Macaca fascicularis: one gene and its partner. Each later gene encodes a partner of the first gene's protein in a complex. Links are inferred from orthologs where the notes say so. Each region holds a gene or a part of one and is shown on either strand. Other genes may lie near its edges. The genes, in order: SMARCAD1 and TRIM28.

Evidence for each region.
Region 2: the proteins of SMARCAD1 (region 1) and TRIM28 are in contact, whole or in part, in a crystal structure (PDB 6H3A), measured with the Homo sapiens proteins. The link is inferred for Macaca fascicularis from reciprocal best matches to the Homo sapiens genes SMARCAD1 and TRIM28. Residues at the interface, in NP_001362784.1 of Homo sapiens: Asp156, Leu157, Ala160, Lys161, Gln163, Thr164, Glu167, Leu168, Phe169, Asp188, Gly189, Ala190, Ala192, Leu196, Ala201, Gly202, Gly203; in NP_005753.1 of Homo sapiens: Arg330, Trp333, Thr334, Lys337, Ile338, His341, Leu376, Lys377, Ile379, Val380, Asp381, Val383.

The regions. Positions count from the first base shown.
Region 1 is NC_088379.1:99,897,932-99,901,738, forward strand, and holds part of SMARCAD1 (SWI/SNF-related matrix-associated actin-dependent regulator of chromatin subfamily A containing DEAD/H box 1), read left to right. Parts: intron 1-1,464; exon of another isoform or gene 1,465-1,553; intron 1,554-1,642; coding exon 1,643-1,752; intron 1,753-3,807. UniProt on the Homo sapiens protein: DNA helicase that possesses intrinsic ATP-dependent nucleosome-remodeling activity and is both required for DNA repair and heterochromatin organization.
Region 2 is NC_088393.1:66,277,566-66,281,817, forward strand, and holds the start of TRIM28 (transcription intermediary factor 1-beta), read left to right. Parts: upstream 1-1,424; 5' UTR 1,425-1,719; coding exon 1,720-2,059; intron 2,060-2,383; coding exon 2,384-2,496; intron 2,497-2,722; coding exon 2,723-2,855; intron 2,856-4,252. UniProt on the Homo sapiens protein: Nuclear corepressor for KRAB domain-containing zinc finger proteins (KRAB-ZFPs).

The DNA of each region.
Region 1 (3,807 bases):
GGATTCCAAATAGTTCTGCAGTTCATGAAGTATTAACAATTGTCTACGCCTTTGAAAAAGATGAGTAATTGAAAAGACTTGCTTATTAGACCAGTTTAAGACCCAGACAAACTTCATAATACACAAATTATTGCTGGGCTGTCCTGTTACCCTTTAGGAAGTAAACTGAGTTGTAAATTATTTTAGATGAATGGTAATTTTGACATTGGTCACAGCACTGTAAAGAGGTGAAGATAGTCGGGTGCAGTGGCTCACACACTTTGGGAGGCCGAGGTGGGTGGATCATGAGGTCAGGAGATCGAGGCCATCCTGGCTAACACGGTGAAACCCTGTCTCTACTAAAAATACAAAAAAAAAGATTAGACAGGCGTGGTGGTAGGCACCTGTAGTCCCAGCTACTCGGGAGGCTGAGGCAGGAATGACGTGAACCCAGGAGGTGGAGCTTGCATTGAGCCAAGATCGCGCCACTGCACTCTAGCCTGAGCGACAGTGCGAGACTCCAACTCAAAAAAAAAAAAAAAAAAAAAAAAAAAAAAAAGGTGAAGATAGTTACAACTCTGCTTACATAAATAAAGATCAGACAGTGTCCTCTTTGTGAAGTATTTTAATATATGTCCAAAAGATATTGGTATGTTCATTTATAGACTAAATACTTACCAGTACTTATTGTGAAACTTTGTATCTGACTGCACTGCCTTAAGTGTACAGAGACACTGCTTCTCGGGCCAGGCACAGTGGCTCGCGCCTGTAATTCCAGCACTTTGGGAGGCTGAGGCGGGCAGATCACGAGGTCAGGAGTTTGAGACCAGCCTGACCAACATGGTGAAACCCCGTCTCTACTAAAAATACAAAAATTAACCGGGCTTGGTGGCATGCGACTGTAATCCCAGTTACTGAGGAGGCTGAGACAGGAGAATCACTTGAACCCAGGAGACAGAGTTTGCAGTGAGCCAAGATCGCACCACTGCATTCCAGCCTGGGCAACCGAGCGAGACTCCATCTCAAAAAAAAGTAATTTCCATCTGAACACAGAAGTGTTTGTTGTAATGTAGTTTTATCTGTGTGTGTGTGTGTGTGTGTGTGTTTGTACACACACATATGTTTTGTTTTGTTTTTGAGATAGAGCCTCACTCTGTCACCCAGGCTGGAATGCAGTGGCACCATCTCTGCTCACTGCAACCTCCACCTCCTGGGTTCAAGCAATTCCCATGCCTTAGCCTCCCAACCAGCTAGGATTACAGGTGTGTGCTACCACACCCAGCTAATTTTCGTATTTCTCTTTCTTTTTTTTTTTAAGTGGAGATCAGGTTTTACCGTGTTGGCCAAGCTGATCTCGAACTGCTGGCCTCAAACAGTCCACCCACCTCAGCCTCCCAAAGTGCTGGGATTAGAGATGTGAGCCACTGTGCCCAGCCAGTAATTTACTTTAAATACAAATATCTTTCTCTTTTCTTGCATCTTTAGGAGTGTCTAAAAGTTAAATATTCAGAAAATGTCAGTCTCAAATGGCTTAAATAAAAGAATTTAAGGATATGTTTGTCATAATTTTCAAGGTATTCTTTTTGAACTCTTAAATATAGTTTACATATATCCAAATAACTATATTTAGTAACCAATGGACATATTTTGTATGTTTTTTTAGAGAAGTACTAGTTATAAAACTAATAAGCCAAGGGACGATTGAAGAATCCATGCTAAAAATTAACCAACAGAAATTGAAACTAGAACAGGATATGACTACAGTAGATGAAGGTAAGTTTTTTGTAAGCAGAAACTTCAGTATTTATATGACCATGCATCTAATTAGTGCAAGAAGGTGACAAAGATGACTAAAGTCCTTAACTAGCTTACAGTTTAGGGGTGATGTGTGATGTGGGAGAAGGTAAGCATATTTACTTCAAAAATACTAAAATAATTTTTTTAAAGTCTCTTAAGTTCAAAATTTTTATTTTTGTATATGTTTTTGAAAAGAATATGTTCAGAACTCAGAAATGAAAGAACAGACACCTCCTAGTCACCCCATCTCCCAACTTCCCCATAGAGGTGGCAAGTGTTAGCCTTTCGTTTTTGTGTGTGTGTGACCAGTTATTTTATGTGTGTAGAAATAAACACGTATTCTTTCTTTTATGGGAGTAAGGGTGCATGTCAACTACGATACACTCTTCTGCACCTTTTCTTATTTAATGTTAAGTTAATTGGAAATAAGCAAGTTTTTTCATTCTAATAAATAAGGATATTCCTGATATTGATAATGGTTCATTTTAATTTAGCAAATTTCTGTTCATGACAGATACTGTTATGTCTGTGTTATATTAGGCACTCTGTACTATAAAAGTCAATACACTTTAATCTGTCTACAGCGAGAGAGAAATGCATATGATCAAATAATTACTTGTTTTTCTTGCATAACATTTCAGGGTGCTATGGAAGCTTGGGGAGGCGGGCAGTAGAAAAAGTTTGAGTAAGAAGCAACTGAGATCTTTAAGGATAAGTAGGGTGATCATAAGTTAAACAATTAACACGAATTACTAGGCTTTTTGTGCATATGGCAACTTGCCAGTTTCAGGTTGTCCAGTAAATACAGTAAAGTGAGTGCGTAAGGCAGATTCTCTTTGGGCAATGTTTTCCTTATTATTTCGCTATGGCAGCTTTTAGAATTTAGTAAAGCATTTAAATTCTTTTTTACCAATACCAGCAAATATCCAGATATATGGATTTTATTCTATAATAAGTTTCTAAATATAGTAGAACCATAATAGTTGATAAAATTAACTATAAGTCTTTTCTTATGGGCTAGTTCATTTCCTCAGAGGTAAATTTTTCAGCCTCCTGTGAAGTGAAGAGAGGTGGGGAGAGGTGGTATGAGCCAATGGCCCTGAGAACTGAAGGAGGGAGGTTTGTTCTCATATTTAAATATTAATAGTTAATCTGCCTGTTTTCAGCAGCCTCTCTGTTCTCTACTATGACAAGTCCAGTGTTCCTCAGACTCATATTCTCCAAAGAGAATAAACCTTCATTTTTATACATCTGGGGCAAATGGCTGGCTTTCTTGGGCAAGCTGTAGTCATCTTACCTGTTCAAGCTGATTATAGCTTCATGTTTCCCATTTACCCCCATTTCCTGAGCTTTGAGGGTAGAAGGGTAAGGATTCTTGGTATGAAGTAGCCTTGCATTTCCCACCTGCAGACACTTAAGCTTTTACTTTATTGTGCGAAAATCAGTTTCCATGCTTTCATCTATTGTTTTCTTTCAAAATTTGTGAACAACTCTCTCTCTGCTGTTGTCTTTTTCGCCTATTCTTTCTCCTTTGTCTAATCCCCTTACACTTTTTTCTCCCATTGTATTTTAATGGTATTACAGATGATGGGAACAGAGGTGATGTGTATATTCAATCATTTTCAGTCATAATTAATGTAAATTATTTGTATTTGTATAAATTTGGTCAGTCTAAAATTTTGCCTGTTCTGTTCACCTGCGTTGTCTGTTAAAATAGCAGTGTATTTTTAGCTGTGCTCTCAAGCCAGTACCTTTGAAATGTTTAGTTATGAAGAATCCTGCCCTCTCTTTACCACTCTCCTTACCACTTTTCCTAGAAGTTTTTCTCTGTCTTGTTAAAGCTGTTTATATGTTTTTTTTCCCAGTGTGTATTTTATTTGCTAGACTAAGGATGTAATGGTGTCTTATTTACTCATTTAGCTGTAATCATTTGTCTTCAGCTGCGTCCCTGGTTTCATTTAGGTAATTTTGACACTGAACTAATGACAATACATGTATGCCCTTCTTTACATCTCTCACAATGAGGTCCTT
Region 2 (4,252 bases), on another chromosome or scaffold:
GCTGGATGGGATTTCATAGACTCATTGCTCTGTAGCCTCTTGTGATTTATAGTTTGTGTGTGTGTTTTTGCGGCGGGCGGTAGGGGGGCCGGCGTGGTGGCTGACACCTGTAATTCCAGCTCTTTGGGAGGTCGAGGCGGGTTGATCACCTGAGGTGGGGAGTTGGAGACCAGCCTGGCCAAAGTGGTGAAAGTCAGTCTCTACTAAAAATACAAAAAATAGTCGGGCGTGTGGAGGCGGATGTCTGTAATCCCAGCTACTCAGGAGGCTGAGGCAGGATAATTGCTTGAACCCGGGAGGCAGAGGTTGCAGTGAGCCGAGATCGCGCCACTGCACTCCAGCCTGGGCAACAGAGCAAAACTCCGTCTCAAAACAAACACAAAAAGATTTCTTCTTTTGAGATGGAGTTTCGCTCTTTTCTCCCAGGCTGTAGTGCAATGGCACGATCTCGGCTCACTACAACCTTCGCCTTCCGGGTTCAAGCGATTCTCCTGCCTCAGCCTCCCGAGTAGCTGGGAGTACAGGCGCCCGCCACCACGCCCGGCTAATTTTTGTATTTTTAGTAGAGACGGGGTTTCACCATGTTGCCCAGGCTGGTCTCGAACTCCCGACCTCAGGTGATCGACCCGCCTCGACCTCCCAAAGTGCTGGGATTAAAGGCGTGAGCCGCCGCGCCCGGCCACATTTTTTTCGATCTGTTGTCTAGGCTGGCGTGCAGTGGCACAATCCCGGCTCACTGCTGCCCCGGCCTCCTGGGCTAAACGGAGCCTCCCGATTCGCCTAAGAAAATGGTGGGATTACAGGTATGAGCCACGGCGCCCGTCTGTGATCTACATTTGATTTAGGCAACTTTCTGTGTTTCTCAAGTTTAACTATAACGTGGTTAAAATTCAAAAGTCAGCCCCTGCTCTCACACAGGCGCTTCCTCCCTCCTGGGATGGAGCCTGTCCTCCCCTCTCCCGGGGCACAGCCCTTTACTCCGTCTTGGCCCCGCCTACTTCTCCATTGGCCCTGCCCCCTATCCCGAACGCTTAGTGACGCAGAGGCTGGAGACGACTCTACGCGAGCGAAAAGACGCGGGTTGAGGAAGAGTTACGGACTGCCCATGCGCTTGGGCGCACAGCGGCCCGCTTCGGTGTGGTCTGGAGGTGGAGCTGAGAGGGGAATCACACTCTATAAAGGTGCGCACACCCCACTGGCGGATTAAATTGCGGCAGTGACGTCACAGAGGGACCGCCCCGCCCCCACAAGACCCCACCGACGTGGGGTTGGCCGTGGTGGAAGGACCCGGAGTGGGCGCGTGCGTACTGGCAGCCTCTCCCGCCCCGACCGGCCTGGGCCCCGCCCCCGGGCGTGCGGCGCCCAATGCGCGTGCGCGGCGGCGTCGGCGCCAGTTATTTCTGTCCCGCCCCCCGGCCTCGGCTCTTTCTGCGAGCGGGCGCGCGGGCGAGCGGTTGTGCTTGTGCTTGTGGCGCGTGGTGAGGGTTTCGGCGGCGGCTGAGGAAGAAGCGCGGGCGGCGCCTTCGGGAGGCGAGCAGGCAGCAGTTGGCGGTGCCGCAGCAGCGTCCCGCGCGCGGCGGGCAGCGGCCCAGGAGGCGCGTGGCGGTGCTCGGCCTCGCGGCGGCGGCGGCGGCCCAGCAGTTGGCGGCGAGCGCGTCTGCGCCTGCGCGGCGGGCCCCGCGCCCCTCCTCCCCCCTGGGCGCCCCCGGCGGCGTGTGAATGGCGGCCTCGGCGGCGGCAGCCTCGGCAGCAGCGGCCTCGGCCGCCTCTGGCAGCCCGGGCCCGGGCGAGAGCTCCGCTGGCGGCGAAAAGCGCTCCACCGCTTCTTCGACCGCGGCCTCGGCCTCGGCCTCGGCCTCGGTGTCGTCGCCCGCGGGGGGCGGCGCCGAGGCGCTGGAGCTGCTGGAGCACTGCGGCGTGTGCAGAGAGCGCCTGCGACCCGAGAGGGAGCCCCGCCTGCTGCCCTGTTTGCACTCGGCCTGTAGTGCCTGCCTAGGGCCCGCGGCGCCCGCCGCCGCCAACAGCTCCGGGGACGGCGGGGCTGCGGGCGACGGCGCCGGTAAGTACGAAGTGATCGGGGCCACCCCTCCCCCTACTCTCTGCCTTTGATTCCCACTGGGTGCAGAGATGAGGATGCCACCTGGGCAAGAGGATGGGGGCCCGGACAGTGCACGGGGAGTACTTTCTGGGTCCTGCATAGGAACGTGGGTTTGAGCTGGCCGCTGAGATGAGACATCTGACTAAAGTTGGAGAAAGGGCTCGGGGAGGGGAGGGGCTGGCTCGCTGCGGGGTAATGGTCGGGGGCCCACCCAGCACGGGGATGCGGGGGGCCATAACTTGGGTGGGAACTTGTAACAGTCTCCCACATCCCTGCCTCTTGAAGTGGTGGACTGTCCCGTGTGCAAGCAACAGTGCTTCTCCAAAGACATCGTGGAGAATTATTTCATGCGTGATAGTGGCAGCAAGGCTGCCACCGACGCCCAGGATGCTAACCAGGTGCGTCCAACCGCAGCAACCACAGGGAGGTTTCTGGGGAGGGGGCATCTGCCCAGGAGGAGCTTGACACCAGCTCCCAGGCTGTTACTCGACTTTCCCAAGGCTCTGGGTGGGCTGTCTAGGCTGGGTCAAGGGACCAATCTTAATCTTGGGTTGTATTTTCTGAGGTGTAGATGTGGATCTAGCAAGTTGTCTTGCTTTCTCTGACCCTGCCTTTGTCTGGCAGTGCTGCACTAGCTGTGAGGATAATGCCCCAGCTACCAGCTACTGTGTGGAGTGCTCGGAGCCTCTGTGTGAGACCTGTGTAGAGGCGCACCAGCGGGTGAAGTACACCAAGGATCACACTGTGCGCTCTACTGGTACGTGAGGCTGAGGGGGCTGTTGCTTTCCCGTGTGTGCCCTCAGTTGCTTTTATAATGTTGGTTGCATTTGGTGGATGGGTCCTAGAGTTGTCCAGGGGGTGCCGCCCGAAGGGCCGGAGAGCAGAACTCCAAAAGCAGGAAAATTGTGGTTGTGGTGTGTAGTCTCTAGGGCTTAGGTGGGAGGGGGTGGGAAGGGGAGACGTGGAGACCTTAATGTGCTGCAGGGAGGTACAGAGGGTTTGAGGAAGCTTATCAGGGAGTTCTCAGTCCTGGTGTTGAAGGGCTCAGAATATGCAAACAGGGAAAGGCATGGTGTGAAGGGCTTACTGGGTTTGTGGTTCCCTGGCACACATCTGGTATAAGACGCTGTTAGGGAAAATGAGACTTTGTGGGTCCATGGGTTATAAGTGATGGTGATTTCTGGAAACGTTTTAGCTTTTGAGTTGGCAGAGACTTACCCGGAGTTTGGTTTGGCATTTCCAGCTTTTCGCAGACACTCGCTAGCTTTGATTTGGAAAGGAGCTTGAGAGTCTTTTGAGTGTAGCCCAGTTTTTGGGCCAAAATCCTCCCATGAGTGGCCTTTTGGTAGCCATACCGTGATTCTTCCCATCCCAGAGGCCAGCATTGGTGGAAGATAGTGGGAAAGTGGCGGCTGTGGGGCCTGAGGAGCCAGGAGGGATAGGCAGGGGCTGCAGGGTGTCCTACATTCCAGACGTCCCAAGCAAAGGTCAGGGTGCAGGAATGGTGGCACTGGGGAAGTCAGTTTCCCCAGTGAGCCCTGATGCTACGTATTTTGGATTTGGTTGGTATGTTGGACCACTATGCTTAATCGGTTTTCTAATGGGGAAGCAGGCTTTGAAGGTTATTAATGTGTTGGTCTTGGGGTGGAATTATGCTGAGCACCAAGCTCCTGGTCTAGAGGGGGTGTGACCACCATTCTGAGGGTCCTAGTTTGACATTTTATCTCTCCCAGTATGAGAACCTCTACAGGTTTTCTCTGGGCTCTTGGGTTGTAAGAGACCCTGGTGTTTTCTTGTCACGAAAGAGGGAGGAAGTTAACCATGAAAGGAGAAGAAAAGGAGTCCAGGGTGGTTTGTAGGCAGAATTCTGAATATGTCCACTTGGAGAATAAAGGGAACAGTGTGTGTGGGGGGGTAGTCCTCTTTTTCCGGAGGCTGTCCTTACCTTTACCTTTGTGTCACCTCTAGAAGCTAGAAGAAAGGGATGTGTTTCTCAGCTATGTTGGGGCAGAGGTTTCTGGGAGCAAGGAATTGGGCTTGCAGGCCTGTGTTCTTCGCTGGCCACACCCTCTACATCTTCCCAATAAATGGCCCAGTGTCACAGAATGGGCAGGAAATGAGGCCCCAACTTAGTCTGCTTCCTGAGTTGGGGGT